2 linked regions of the Tribolium castaneum genome follow. The protein of the gene in region 2 purifies or fractionates together with the protein of the main gene of each other region. This does not show direct contact. Links are inferred from orthologs where the notes say so. Each region holds a gene or a part of one and is shown on either strand. Other genes may lie near its edges.

The links. Proteins that work in one complex are often made in the same cells at the same time.
Region 1: the proteins of CSN6 (region 2) and Cul2 purify together in Homo sapiens (affinity purification with mass spectrometry; 5 studies listed by BioGRID and IntAct, counting the BioPlex papers as one, with this or other methods). This does not show direct contact. The link is inferred for Tribolium castaneum from reciprocal best matches to the Homo sapiens genes COPS6 and CUL2.

Annotation. Positions count from the first base shown.
Region 1 is NC_087401.1:15,830,232-15,837,600, forward strand, and holds part of Cul2 (cullin-2), read right to left. Parts: coding exon 7,024-7,369; intron 2,766-7,023; coding exon 2,361-2,765; intron 2,301-2,360; coding exon 2,046-2,300; intron 796-2,045; coding exon 415-795; intron 368-414; coding exon 101-367; intron 30-100; coding exon 1-29.
Region 2 is NC_087398.1:15,418,207-15,426,809, reverse strand, and holds CSN6 (COP9 signalosome complex subunit 6), read right to left. Parts: upstream 5,106-8,603; 5' UTR 5,020-5,105; coding exon 4,815-5,019; intron 4,764-4,814; coding exon 4,632-4,763; intron 2,478-4,631; coding exon 2,326-2,477; intron 2,275-2,325; coding exon 1,915-2,274; intron 1,649-1,914; coding exon 1,508-1,648; 3' UTR 1,429-1,507; downstream 1-1,428. Other genes in the region: uncharacterized protein C9orf85 homolog, read right to left, coding at 5,379-5,939. UniProt on the Homo sapiens protein: Component of the COP9 signalosome complex (CSN), a complex involved in various cellular and developmental processes.

The sequences.
Region 1 (7,369 bases), on a different chromosome or scaffold from region 2:
AAACGGAGCACCGTTTCCGGTTTCAAATCCTAAACTAGCCAATTAAAACGAGAAGATCATGGGGGCTTGGCCTCCGGCCACGCCCCCATGCCCAACCTACCGTACTATCCGCTATCAATAATTTACAATCAATCAAGCTAGCCGCGTATCTGTGATACTGTTCGGCGGTTAGTTGCAAACTCTCCCTAATTTCGCGAAAAGTGAGCGAATCCGTGTGTTCAAACAGCAACAAAGTGGCCATTTGAAACGTCTGCATTGTCACTAGATACGATTTTTTCAAATGGCCCAACTTCAATTCCGCTTGACACAAATTATGCAACCATGTCAATTTGCGACCGTTGAACCTATTATGATAGAAATTTTCAAACTGTAAGAGAATCATTTTAAGCCACGCCCACATGTGTACCATCTCACCATTTGTACGCTCTTCTCCAGTTGTCTAGGATACGTAAAAGGCGTGGTCACCGTCTGGCCCAATGGCCACGCCCCTGCTTGTAATACGTATATACTGAAATTAATTCCGAGGTCGATGTTGTCTTGTTTCAAAAATGCGTTAAATTTATTATTGAGATCCGCACTCACTGACATATCGGTAAACATTCGATGCAATTTACTTGTAAATTCGTAACCGCATGCTTGTTTTAAACGATTGATCATGGCCTCCTCCGCATCCATACTTTGCGTTTGTTGGTGGATGAGGCGTTTGGCCAACATTCGAGAATAGAATTTTTGAAATACGTCTTTGTCGTCGATATATTTGAAAATTGTTATGCTCTCGGCGAGCTTTTCGTCCACCTGGAAATAATCGTTTTTTCATAACCAACGAGGTAAACATTTTTTTTTATTTTTCATGACCAACGCGGTATACAATTTTTTTTATTTTTCATGACCAACGCGGGAAACAATTTTTTTGAGTTTTCCTGACGAACAGGAAAATCGAATTTTAAAAATTTGATTTTCCAATTTTTTTTATTTATTATTATTAAAAAAATTAAATTAAAATTCCAAATTTTATGGATTTGTAACGTTGGGAGATTAATTTACAGCAAGGAATATTTTCAAAAATTTAACTTTAACTGCCGTAACAACAACCAATGAGTCAACCAAATCTCTTTGTTCACACGTTTGCAGATAATATTTTTTTTGTTAGTGACGTTTTATCCGGATATTCTTACACAATTATTACGGATGTGCCGTTTTATTTTAATCAGTTTGTCACTTGCTAGTGTCGCGTACGGACGTCTTATAAACTTAGAAATTAAATTAAAAAAATCAACATTTTGCTAACTTTTAAATTTGTGTTTAAATAAATAGTGCGCGATTTTTTAATTATAGTGAATGCCAATTGGAATAGATCTCTGAAATCGTGTTACAAGGATCCGGATTAAAGGGTTAGTTTGAAAAATTTTTTTACAGAAAAATTACATTAAATTAAATTAATGACGTCCCAGGTTAAAATTACACGGAATTTTTGAATAATTAATAATTAAATGAGCAGTTTAAACATTTAATTTATATAATTAATTTATTTCTTTTGTAATTTTAGTTTCATTGGTTTGTACATTAAACTTTTTTTTCATTTTTTTATTTTTTGAGGATTAACTTAAATAAATAGCCTTGACTCACAACAATATCTAATAAATAAATAAGTAAAATCATAATCTTCTCAATTATTTTAAGTGCAGTTTCTACATAAAACCAGTTACTCGTATTTTTAGATTAATTTTATTGTTACCATAATTATATAGATTTTTTTTAATTTCAGTAAGTTCGTGTATGAAGATGAGGCTTGCTATAAAGGGTAGCAGAAGTAGATGCCTAAGGTGAGTGTTTTTTTTTTCGTATTGATTTGTGTTTTTATTTATTTATTTATAATTTATTTTTAATGCACTTTTTTGCGAGACCCTGTATAATAAATAATACGAATAATCTCAAAATAAAACTTTTGACAACAAAGTTATTTAAAATTAATCAGTTCTTCAACAGTAAATAAATAAAAACAATAAAAGTTTTTAAGTAAAAGTAAGAAAAAAAATCAAACTTACCTCCGAATCGCTAATCCCTTTACTCGACTTGCGCAACAATGCGTCGCAATACTTGGCCAAAAATTCGGGGCTTTTACACACAGGCTTGCCAAACTTGTGATTAATAACGGAACTGCAGGCCTTATCCAAAGCCCCCATAAAATTCTGATCCGACTTGAACACCTCTTGAATCAACAATTTATATTTTTTATAAACCGCTAGCATATTTTCGACGAACGTTATGTGAATATTTTCGGTATCAATATTACCAACAGCCTAAGAACAACAATAAAAAAATCCCTAAATCGGTAAACCACTCGTGTAAAAGCAACAAACCGTCAATCCTTGCGTCTTAATATGGTCCAGAACGGTATCAACAAGCACAACCATTGCATTTTGGACGCTTTTGAGCAGATCGTACATATTTGAGAGGTCCTTTTTGCGCTCACCCTGTACCATTGCCACGCATTCGCTGTATAAAAAGTCCAAATGTTCGGCCACCATGTGTGTTTCACATCGTTGGGAGACTTTCGGGAGGGAACTGGTGTGGAGGAAGCGACGTGCACGTAACAGTTCCTCCTCAATTCGTCCCTTGACGCGCTCCATATACAGGGAGACGTTTTTCTCTTGCAAAAGTTTGGCAGCGTCGCGTTTAAAATGCTCGCCGCTTTCTTTGAGGAACGGCTCCTCAAATAACTCCTGGTACAGTTGCAGTTGGCCCTTTTTCTTGTAGCCCTGCACCTGTTTTCAATTATTGTGAAAAATTTTGTTAGAAAAATAAAAATCATTCAAAATTACGTATGTATGCAAGATTACAGCACATTCGAATAACACGAACTCTCGCAAATTTGTGTCAGAAAAATTAAACAGACAGATAAGACAATAAGCAAGTTAAATAAGAGCTTTAAAAAACACTCGTTTTAGGCGAAATTTTGTCAAAAAAATTGGTCGGTAATGGTGTTATTTTTACGCAAGATTTGCAAAAACAAAGCGAAAAATTACGAACTAAACCGATAGCTTTGGCCTTTTTGGCTTGATCAAAGTTTTAGATTACTTTTAAGTCAGAAATAATTACATATTTCGCAAAATTTCATTAACGACCACTTCAGAAATACGCCAAAATGAGTTTTTTTTAAGTTTTTGAAGCCTTTAAGTACATTTTATAACTAAAATTTCGACAATCGCTTAAAAAACACCCAACTAGTTCGGAAATTATATTATGATTTTCCCTTTTCGGTCGTTAATTTACAAAATAAGTCAAAAAATCATCAAATTTCGCCGAAAATCGAGTATTTTTTGCACGTTTCTGCGTTAAAACAAAGTTTTTTCGAATAAACGGACGGAAAAATCACGTAATTAGATCGAGTTTTTAAGTTATTTTAAGTTGAATGAAAAATAAAAAATACGAAATACTCAAAACTAGACTGAAAACTATATTATTTTGACATTTTCAAACTTTTAAGCACGTTTTTGAGTTAAAACAAAGGTTTCTCGAATAATAAGGCTAGAAAATCACCACATTAGATCAAACTTAATGTTATCTTAGCCTATTTAAGACGACTTACCTCATTTTTGAGCAAAAAACAACGCCAAAAGTGACTTTTCTGTTTGCATTCCTCGAAAATTTCGCTCGTTTTTTAGTCAAAAATTCATTATTTCAGAAACTTTAGTTAACAAAATCTCGAAAAATCACCAAATTAGAAGAAAAACATCGAGTTATTTTGTGCTTTTTCAAGCCTCTAACCATGTATTTTAACTTAAAAACAATTTTTTTTCCAATTAACTTGCAGAAAAACCACCAAATTATATTGAAACTGATGTTATTTTAACTTGATTTAATTCGTTTGTAGGCGAAACTTTATTAAAAAAGCATTATTTGGTTGATTTCGCGCCTTTTTGGTAAGTTTTTGAACAAAAATTTCTAGGTGTTTTCAAAATTTCGCTAAACCAAAACCAAAAAAAAAACCAAAATAAAGTCGAAACTAGACCGAAAATTATATTATTTTGACATTTTCAAGCTATCAAGTACGTTTTTGAGTTAGAAACAATGTTTTTCGAATAAATAAACTAAGAAATCACCAAAACTAGATCAAAACTAATGTTATCTTAGCCTATTTAAGACGATTTACCTCATTTTTGAGCAAAAAAGAAAGTCAAAAGTGACTTTCTGTTTGCATTCCTCGAAAATTTCGCTCGTTTTTTAGTCAAAAATCCATTATATCAGAAATTTTACTTAACAAAATCTCGAAAAATCACCAAATTAGATGAAAAATATCGAGTTATTTTGTGCTTTTTCAAGCCTCTAATCATGTATTTTACCTTAAAAACATTTTTTTTCCAATTAACTTGCAGAAAAACTACCAAATTATATTGAAACTGATGTTATTTTAACTTGATTTAGTTCGTTTGAAGGCGAAACTTTATTAAAAAAGCATTATTTGGTTGACTTCGCGCCTTTTTGGTAAGTTTTTGAACAAAAATTTCTAGGTGTTTTCAAAATTTCACTAAACCAAAACCAAAAAAAAAACAAAATAAAGTCGAAACTAGACCGAAAATTATATTATTTTGACATTTTCAAGCTATCAAGTACGTTTTTGAGTTAGAAACAATGTTTTTCGAACAAATAAACTAAGAAATCACCAAAACTAGATCAAACTTAATGTTATCTTAGCCTATTTAAGACGATTTACCTCATTTTTGAGCAAAAAAGAAAGTCAAAAGTGACTTTCTGTTTGCATTCCTCGAAAATTTCGCTCGTTTTTTAGTCAAAAATCCATTATATCAGAAATTTTACTTAACAAAATCTCGAAAAATCACCAAATTAGATGAAAAATATCGAGTTATTTTGTGCTTTTTCAAGCCTCTAATCATGTATTTTACCTTAAAAACATTTTTTTTCCAATTAACTTGCAGAAAAACTACCAAATTATATTGAAACTGATGTTATTTTAACTTGATTTAGTTCGTTTGAAGGCGAAACTTTATTAAAAAAGCATTATTTGGTTGACTTCGCGCCTTTTTGGTAAGTTTTTGAACAAAAATTTCTAGGTGTTTTCAAAATTTCACTAAACCAAAACCAAAAAAAAAAACAAAATAAAGTCGAAACTAGACCGAAAATTATATTATTTTGACATTTTCAAGCTATCAAGTACGTTTTTGAGTTAGAAACAATGTTTTTCGAACAAATAAACTAAGAAATCACCAAAACTAGATCAAACTTAATGTTATCTTAGCCTATTTAAGACGATTTACCTCATTTTTGAGCAAAAAAGAAAGTCAAAAGTGACTTTCTGTTTGCATTCCTCGAAAATTTCGCTCGTTTTTTAGTCAAAAATCCATTATATCAGAAATTTTACTTAACAAAATCTCGAAAAATCACCAAATTAGATGAAAAATATCGAGTTATTTTGTGCTTTTTCAAGCCTCTAATCATGTATTTTACCTTAAAAACATTTTTTTTCCAATTAACTTGCAGAAAAACTACCAAATTATATTGAAACTGATGTTATTTTAACTTGATTTAGTTCGTTTGAAGGCGAAACTTTATTAAAAAAGCATTATTTGGTTGACTTCGCGCCTTTTTGGTAAGTTTTTGAACAAAAATTTCTAGGTGTTTTCAAAATTTCACTAAACCAAAACCAAAAAAAAAAACAAAATAAAGTCGAAACTAGACCGAAAATTATATTATTTTGACATTTTCAAGCTTTCAAGTACGTTTTTGAGTTAGAAACAATGTTTTTCGAACAAATAAACTAAGAAATCACCAAAACTAGATCAAACTTAATGTTATCTTGGCCTATTTAAGACGATTTACTTCATTTTTGAGCAAAAAAGAAAGTCAAAAGTGACTTTCTGTTTGCATTCCTCGAAAATTTCGCTCGTTTTTTAGTCAAAAATCCATTATATCAGAAATTTTACTTAACAAAATCTCGAAAAATCACCAAATTAGACGAAAAATATCGAGTTATTTTGTGCTTTTTCAAGCCTCTAACCACGTATTTTAACTTAAAAACTTTTTTTTTCCAATTAACTTGCAGAAAAACCACCAAATTATATTGAAACTGATGTTATTTTAACTTGATTTAGTTCGTTTGTAGGCGAAACTTTATTAAAACAGCATTATTAGGTTGATTTCGCGGCTTTTTGGCAAGTTTTTGAACAAAAAATTATATTATTTTGACATTTTCAAGCTTTCAAGTACGTTTTTAGTTAGAAACAATGTTTTTCGAATAAATAAACTAAGAAATCACCAAAACTAGATCAAAACTAATGTTATCTTACCCTGTTTTACACCGTTTACCTCATTTTTGAGCAAAAAACAAAGTCAAAAATAACGTTTTTTTCGAATTCCTTCAACATTTCGCTCGTTTTTCAGTCAGAAATTCATTATTTCAAAAATTTTAGTTAACTAAATCCCCAAAAATCGCCAAATTAGACCAAAATTATCGACTTATTTGTACCTTTTCCAAGCCTTTAACCACGTTTTTTAATTTAAAAACAAAGCTTTTTCGAATAACTAACAGAAAAATCGCCAAATTAGATTGAAATTGATGTTATTTTCACCTGATTTCGTTCTTTTAGGCACGTTTTTGAACAAAAATCTCTAGGTGTTTTCAAAATTTTGCGAAACAAAACCAAAAAAAAACACAAAATAAAGACGAAACCAGGCCAAAATTTTTCAAACTGAACGTTTTTGAGTGAAAAACAAAAGTTTTTCGAATAAACAGGCCAAAAATCACCACATTAGGCCAAAAATCACCACATTAGGCCAAAAATCACCACATTAGGCCAAAAATCCGAGTTATTCTGTGCCTTTTATCAGGTTTTTTAATCAAAAAACACACTTTTTTCCAAATAAATTTCCCAAATTAGATCGAAATTAATATTATTTTAACATATTTCCCTTGTAAGCGAATATTTATTAAAAAAGAAAAAACAAAATTTGGTGTGTTTCAAGCTTTTTAGGCAAGTTTTGAACTAAAATCTTCTAAGTGTTTACCTCAACAAAACTAAGAATTGTGCCCCTGACTGCATCAATCGGTATAGCACACGTATTTTGCGCCCTATCCTCCCCAATCGCCTCCAGTAGCAGTTTAACAAGCCTTTGCCCCAAGGGGGCTATCATCCCCGACTGCCACACCTCCAGCGCCAACTCCCCGATCTCCATTTGTTCGCCCCCTGACGAATCCGAACTCCCGTAAATAATCTCAGCATCGGACAGTTTCTGAGTCCTTATATGTTGCTGGTTGAGGTACAAGTACAAACTGTGCAAGTACTGACTCCCTACCGAGTACTGCGACCAATAATGGTAGTAACTTTTCACCAAATTGGCCTCGCCCTCGTCC
Region 2 (8,603 bases):
CTCTCAAAATCTGACAATTTTCTAAATTAAAAATTGTTCGTTTTTGACTTTGATAGGTTTCAAAGAATTATTATTTTTAGATGTTTTAAACCACCATTTGAACTAAAATTTTCGGATATCGTAGATTATTGTATGATTAATAATAAGCTATTGTTAAAAAACCTTATAGTTTTTAAAAGAAATTGAATTAACTGAACCATTCATTTGTTCATATCAGAGTTTTCTCAAACATTCCGATTTTTTTCATCAGTTTGCAATATCAAAATGCAAAATTTTAAAAAAGGAATTTCTGAAGTGGACTGGTGTAGTTCCAAACAAAATTTTAAAAAGTGTAAATATCTCAAGAACGGCTAAACTGAGGTATAGATATAGCTGATAAAAACTTCATCCGTAATCCAAAAGTGCAATAGTCAGTTTTCCATTTAAAATAAATATTTAAATAACATATACAGAATGTCTCAAAATTGACGACCGTGCGCTGGGAATTTGACTTAGGTAGTATTAACTACCTAGTATTAGGTATTAACTACCTAGATTGTATTAACAAATCGAAAGTTAAGAGTAAAAAAAAATCCAATTGCCTTTAGTTTTCGAGTTATTGAGAAAAATGTAAATAATAAGCTTATTATGTCTTACCAATTATTTGTGGAACATAATTCATTAGTTGACGTTAGCGATGTTAAAATTCTTTGAATCACTCTGTCTAGTGAGGAGTATTATTAATTTCTTTCGGTTTTGTATGTTTAAAATGATACGATACTACTACATTATTACATTCGAGATTTGTCGATTGTTAAAAGCTCGGTTACAGGTGTGTATTATGGCAATGCCGCTGCAGAGGCTAGGGCATATACGGAAAAGTTTCTAAATCGCATTGTAGCTTATTTTGTGACAACAAATTTAGTAAATTCGCTTTTAATAAAATTTAATATCTAAATTTTAGTTTCTTATCAATAACTCGATAACGAAGGACAATCAGACAATTTTCCAGCTTTCGATTTGTTTTAGTTTTCTGAAGCAAACCCTAAAAGCACGGGCGTCAATTTTGAGACACCCTGTATACATATGATTTTCCGATAAAGCCAAAGGGCCGCCATCTTGAAAATATTTTTGTTGGAGAGGAACTAACAGATTATCATTGTGTAAAAAAACCACTTCTATACTAATGTGGGGTTTAGAAGCAGCAGTTAGCAAATATTTTGTAAAAACAGGGAGATTTTTTGTGTATTCACCGTGTTGTGTTAATAACAGTTATTTAAAAATTGCTTCTGTGATAAAAATCACAAACATCTCTCTGTACCGCACACAATCACCACTCAAGTGAAGAAGAAATTACAAACTGTAGTCTTCCCAAAATTTTTATACAAGTATCATTGCCTTTTATAAGCTCTTTTGATAAAAATTGCCGCAAAATACAATAAAAGACAATTTGTAATATGGAAGGATTGTTTAATAGAAACTTTAATACAGAACTGAGGGTTATAAATAAAATTGCTTTTTTTACGAATTAAAAGAAAATTCCTCTCATCCTCCTGCCCAGTCCTTGTCTGTCATACAAAATGTTGAATTTGTTCACAAACTGGTTGAGATCATTACAGCCCTTTGTTAAAGTCCCTAAATACGTCATAAGGCCCACATCGTTGCATTGCTGTAAAAACACGTGACAGTAAGTACAACAATAGTTATTTATTTACATTATACGTGCGATAGGTTTAATTTCACAGCGTGAAGTTTTAATATTGACAAAAACTGAACGCTGTAAAATACCTAACGTACAAAACTTTTTGGCCGACGACAGTTCTTCGATAAATTCATATTTCGACGAGCAAACATGTCAATGACAGTTGTCGCGGCCAAAAATGTGGAAAATTGCTTTCCAGATAACTAAAAACTACGTGTGCAAAAAATACTTACATTATAAAAATCTTGTCGAAACCTTGCACTTTGTATAACAGGTAATCGGTGACACAACGAATAAGCCTCTCGTAAAATCTCGTGATTTGTAGGCAACTGTCCACTTTGTACAGCTTTCATATACTCTAAAACCAGCCTAACTCTAGAATGCAACATTTTGATAGCACTGTGTTGCGCTGTCAAATGCTCTGCAACAAGAGAGCTTTCTCCTGAGTCCGTTGAAGACATTCTCGCCACATGATCTACTCCAATTCTTTCTGCTTCTTCGGTTGCCAGAGTATAAGACAAATTAACAAATAACATTGTTGCTTCGCCCCCAATCAAATCAATTACAGACTCGTAAAGAGCAACCGGCAAATGCTAAAATAATTATGTTAAAACTAACACTTAAAATGCAGCCTGTGTACGAACATCAATGTTTTTGTCGTAGGGATTTAATTTAAGCAAAATTGGAGATTCATTAATGTCGCATATTTGCTTATGGATTTTAATGTCAGTGGTGTTGGGGATGTCTCCGGTGGTGTACCAACCAATGAAATCCATGTCACTGAACACCTGCTTGACTGCAATAGATTGTTAACAAACAATTTTTGTGTTTTCTAGTGTTTGAATTTACAATAAGAGTAGTTTTCTTATTTTTATTATTTGTATTCACCTTTCAAGCCAAGATCTCTGCGCTCTCTGGTGAACCACTCCCTTGCGAAATTTGATTTTGGCAGCTAGAGTACCATAAAAGATCTATTAAAAGTGTCAAACAGACAAAAAACGTTTGTACCTTTTCAAAAAAATTACATTTAAATTTCCCGCTATATGGCAAAGCAGCATTTCACAATTAACAACCAGAAAAACCAAAGGTCTTAACTTGAAAGGCGAATAATTGTCATAACTAAGCGCAAAACTTGAGAAAAATTAATAAAAAAAAAAATGAAAAAATATATACACCGTATTCGGTAAATGGACTGCCATCGCTTTACTGCGAACTCACAGGAGTCAGAAAAATATTATTCCGCATTTACATGAACTTTACTGTTTATAAAATTTTCAGCTACTGTATCCATACTTTACAGTTTATAGCAACCTTGTTAGAGTTGCCACCTGTCCGGTTTTCACTCAATACAATCCGGATATTAGACGATATGTCCGGTATCCGGATCAAATGTTAATTTGTAATAAATGTCCAGTTTTCTTAGGGTAATTTAAATTTTGTTGTATCTAAAATTAAAATTAACGACCAATTTTAAAAACTCTGCGATAGAACGCTTAATTCCATCTGTAATTTTTCTGAATTCGAAACTATCTAGTTGTTTCCAACAAATACTTTGAATATTAAAAAAAACTTGGAGTGAATTGGAAAAATGTAGATATACAACTTCTAAAAATTGAATTTACATTTTGCAAACAGGATACCGGATAGTTTTGCAAAAAAAATGATGCAGAAAGGTGGTTTACTGTTTATACAATGTGTTTTTAAATGATTCTCATCTAGTTAACTTTGAAATAATAAATACAGAATGTTAATATTCAATGTCTAAATGCCTATCATTAGTTATATGTTCTTTTACATGAGAAATTCACAGATGATTAGATGTGAATCATTCTAACACTCATTGTACAGGCTGCTGCATTTTAGATGTCGGAATAGGGGAACTCCAAAACTAAGAGATTTAGAGAAAAACAAGTGACACATTTTCTGGTCCGTTTTTTTAAAAAATAATTTTGGTCAACCGCATCCCGCTATCATCTTTTGTTTTCGACTTATCAACAGAACTTGACATTTTAACGAAATCTTAAAAAAAATCATATATATCTTCCTTATTATAAAAGATACACATTTGAAACACAAACATTATACAAGCACTTTTTACAGAGAATTTAAAAATGTTATCAGCGATTTTTTTAACCTTTCGTTTAGCTGTAATAAGTTTTATTTTTTTAAATATGAATTATAGGAGGCTGTAATATTTTTGTAAAGCTAATTTTTTTCTGATTTGATGTGTAATACATTCTTTTTAAATATTAAAAAAAATACATTTCGCTTTTTCTGTATAAAGTTGACACTAAAATGTCAACTTTTGTTTATAAGTCGAAAACAAAAAACGATAGCAAGATGCGGTTTAGACCAAGATTATATTCTCAAAAAACGGACCCAAGAATGTGTCACTTGTTTTTCTCTAAATCTCTTAGTTTCGGAGATCTCCTATTCCGACATCCAAAATACAGCACTCTGTACAATATTATTACTACAATATTTTTTATACTAATGCTGTTTGTTATATTTCTTGTATCAGTACATACTATTAAAACTATTGGCAATGTTTTTTTGGTTTTGTAATATTTTATTTGAAAATAAATTTATTTTTATTAAACTAAGTAAAAATTCTTAATACAAACGAGAAGTCAGGTAATAAGATGCCATTACCAGAGTATTTTATATACGATAATACGATAATATAAGAATGTAAGTTATTGTTGTTAGTCATTTTATTGTGGTGTCCAAAGCTAAAAAAAATCTGATGGTAACCCTAAACGTTGCCTACCTCCCACAAAAAATTTGCAGTCTGGCTAAACTTCATTATAATTTACAACAGATCTTATTCAATGAAATTGAAGAAATAAATGAGTCTCAATTACAACAAACGCAACCAACCATACAGAAAAAATCTTCCCTACTCTGATTAGTGATTACAAATTCCGTTGACCACACGGTACATACTTACATTGTTCTTCCTTCATGTTGTAATAATCCCTGTCGATAATAACATCCCCTCCAATTACACTAAATACCAGTTCAAATGAGTTCATTATTTCAATGTTTCGCCCCTTCTGTTTACCAATCAAAGCCCCAATCACTTAAAATGTAACATTATAAATAACTAACTATACTGTAAATGGTGTCGTACCTCGTTGGACTGAGCCCTCTTGAGCCTTTTCACGTGTCCAGTGCTCAGAAACATTCATTATCACCAAAGGGTGCAATGAACAAGTCACAGAACCGACAGCCCCAGCTGCCATCACACTTTTTTCCGAATCTTCCGCCGGATTATTTGCAACATCAGCAGAAGCCGGATTATCGACTTCCATTTCCATTGATTCTTTCGTACTCATATTAATTATTACAAGAAATTGAATCAAAATGTATAAATAACACCGCTAACAAAATGACAAATGACAGCGCTTTGACCCTTTGACAGATGTCAATGTCACAAGTGGCGCCAAACTTAAACGCAACATATTAACATATTCCTCAAATTTTATTAAATTCAAATACCTAATTAAATTTACTCATTAGACGAATTAACGTCATCACTTCCATTATTTCTGTAGGACGCATATAATTTATTACAAGATAATTAACCGAAATGACAAATAAGATCGCTTTGACAGAACGTGGTGCAACAAATAAAAATATTCGCTCTTTTATTTTATTATTTTAATTAAATTCTACAACCAATATATTACAAAATTTAATCATCCGACGAATCAACGTCATCAAAATCGCTGAAGTCGTCCAAGTCATCGTCAATCTTAAGCGCGTTGAGTTTGCTTTTCAAATCTTCCTTTCTCTCCTCGTCATTCGTCGAATCTTCCTCACTTTTTTTGCTCATGTACCTCAAAAACGTCCTCCGTTTGCGTTCCGGAAGCGTATGTAGCAAATTCTTCATTTCGTTGTCCAGTTTGAGTTGTTCCTTTTCGTCCGGTTTTGTTGTAATAACTTCTTTCGTTTCACAACATTTTGTACAAACACCAAATTTTTTTCCACAGTCTGTACACATCACATGATACGCTTTCTTCACGTTTTTCTGATCACATCTGACACATTTTCGTGGCTGTGTGAGCGGTTTGTATTTTTTGTACTTTATTTTCCACTCGATTATTTCCTTGCAACGGACACAAACGTCGCTGATTTGGATGTTGTTAATGTTTTTCGTGCGTTGACTTGTGTCGTGGAGGGTGTTTTTGAAGGCGGTTTTGTTTTGATGTTTTTGGGAGCGACTCCTTTGGGCGTTACCTTTTTGGGTGCTCATTTTTTCTGGAACGAAAACGTAGCTAAATGGGCTTTTATGTCTTTAATCAATTTTTTTGTTAAAAAAACTCATTTTTATTGATTTCTTTGCCTATTTCAATTTCAAACTCTTTATTGAATTGTTGAATGACCTAAAGATAAACACGCCAATAAAAATCAAAAAAGGCAAAAATAATTAAAATATGTTCGGCAAAACTTTCTCATTTTCTGTTTGTTTTTAGCAAAACGCTCGAAAATGACAAAAAGAATAATAAAATAAAATAAATCTCAAAAAAACTGACAATTTAGTTTGAAAACTTCATTTTTGACAAAGTTGTTATTTGTTTGGCGCTACTGTTGAAAAAACTTTGTTTTTACTTCAAAAACGTGCTTAAACACTGTAAAAAGGCAAATTTAACATCATTTTTGACCTAATTTATAGTACATTAAAAACAAGTTTTATAAGACGAGTCTTAATCTTATTATGACATCGCTCTTGATAACGTTGCGTGCTTTAAGATGCCCATTGAAACATCAAAAGGGCGGCAAATTACAAAAAAAATATTTTCAAACAGTTTTTAACGAAATTTTGGATTTTTAACTGACTGACCACTATCTTTGAAGGAACTAATTATTATTGACTATTGTGTTTTAATTTCGAGAGAAAACCGTACATGCTAAAATACTTAAAAAAACGGCAAAATCCGACAGAAATTTCTAGATCAAAGATCAGTAAACTAAAAATTTTATTTTAAAATATGCTTATAAAAACGGGAAAGATTTGTTGGTTGTTTAGGGTAGGGAGTGTCTGATGAAGATTTAATAAAAAATCGAAACGTCGCAAAATTATAAATTTTAATTACTCCCTGCCCTAAACAACCAACATATATTTTCTGGTCATGTTGGCTGGTAAAGTTGAAACAAAATTTGAACAAAATTTTGTTTTGTGTTTTATTTTTTGACGAAATTACAATCAACTAAAATCGAGTGATACAACCAAAATTATATCGCTTCCGACCTAATTCTGTAATTGTTTAAAATACGTGCTTGCTTATGCAGTGGGAAAAGGCAAACTTATCTGATAACATAATTTTTGGCTTAATTTGATAAATCTTCGTCCTGTTTTTAACAAAATAATTTTGCGAAATAATAGTTCTTCTAACTCGCAATCATCAAAAAAAGTAAAAATAGTAATACAACTTCTAACACAACTCACCGACCATTTAGAACAAGACCACAATTTTTGCCAGTAATTTATTGTTATTCTGGCTTAATTCTTTACACAATTTTGGAGAAAATTGTGTATGCTGAGACTTTCAAACCAGACTAAATTAATATCATTAAAAAAACTAAAAATACACGTACAGTTTTCAAACAGCAGGGGTAGACATTGAAAAAGATGAAAATAATACATTTTCTACCAATTTATAGGTTTTGTCAGTTTATTTTTTGATGACATAAATATGGACTCAAACAAAAAAATAAGATCATGTTCGACCTAATTCCGCCACTTTCAAAGTAATTGTTTTGTTCAAAAACTAATAGTCACTATTGCTGTGTGAAAAATATAAAAACGGCAACGTCGCATTTTCTCTCAAAATTAGCTGTTATAAATTATTCATGCACTTCAAAATATCAAAATATTGATAGCTAATGCAATTTGTACTTTCAATGATAGAGATCTAATGATTAATAACTAAAATGCGACATATTTTTATAGATTCGAAACAGCTAATATGTATTTTCGACAAGTTTTTTGTTTTTCTGGTGATATTGTTAATGCTTGGTTTTCACATCAAAAACGTGGTTAAACACTGTAAAAAGGCAAATTAAATATTATTTTTTAACTTTACTTGAAATATCTCCGCCCGTTTTGGATAAAATTTTGCGAAATCATTATTTCTAACTGACATACGTTATAAAACACACGAAAACATCAGAAATGATGTAGTTTCCAACAAAAAAAATGTACTGATTTTTCAAAACAAAATCACTGTTATTGAACTAATTAAACTTTTTTGACTTACTTTTTGTAAAATTTCGAGATCAAATCGCATCTGATGTAACAAAATCTCATAAAACCAAAGATTTGGTTTTAAAATATGCTTAGACGTTAAAAACGGTAAAAATAACAGAATGTTCTACCAAATTGTTTTTTCAGATTATCTTTTGACGAAATTTCGATCAAATGCCAACCGAAATCGAAAGAAATAAACAAAATAAGTAATTCTAGGTATAACTCTTGGTCTAATTTCGAAAATGCACAAAAAAAATTTAACCATCGAAATACGAAGAGATTTAAAAAGAAAAAAATGCAAAAATCCAAAAGTCTGTTTTATAAGATAGATAATAACCAAAATGGGAAATAAACACCAAACCATAATGTCAAATTTTTATTGGTTAAATAAACATTTTCTAGATTTATTTCGATTTTTGTATGCTTTCTCGACTCTTGGCTAAAACTTTCGACTCCAGTTTCTTTATTTCTTCCATTTGGTTCGTTAGTAATTTTTCCAGTTCCTTGGTCTTCTTGCCAATCAACTTAAATTGCTTCTGTTGTTGCGTGATGTATTGTAAAGTTTCATTTTTAGCAATTTCACTAAGAGTATGAACAGTAGTAGCAAAAGTATTCAACTGTTGGCTCAAATCAGTAGCTATACTTCTATATTCGGGCAATTCGTCCCAT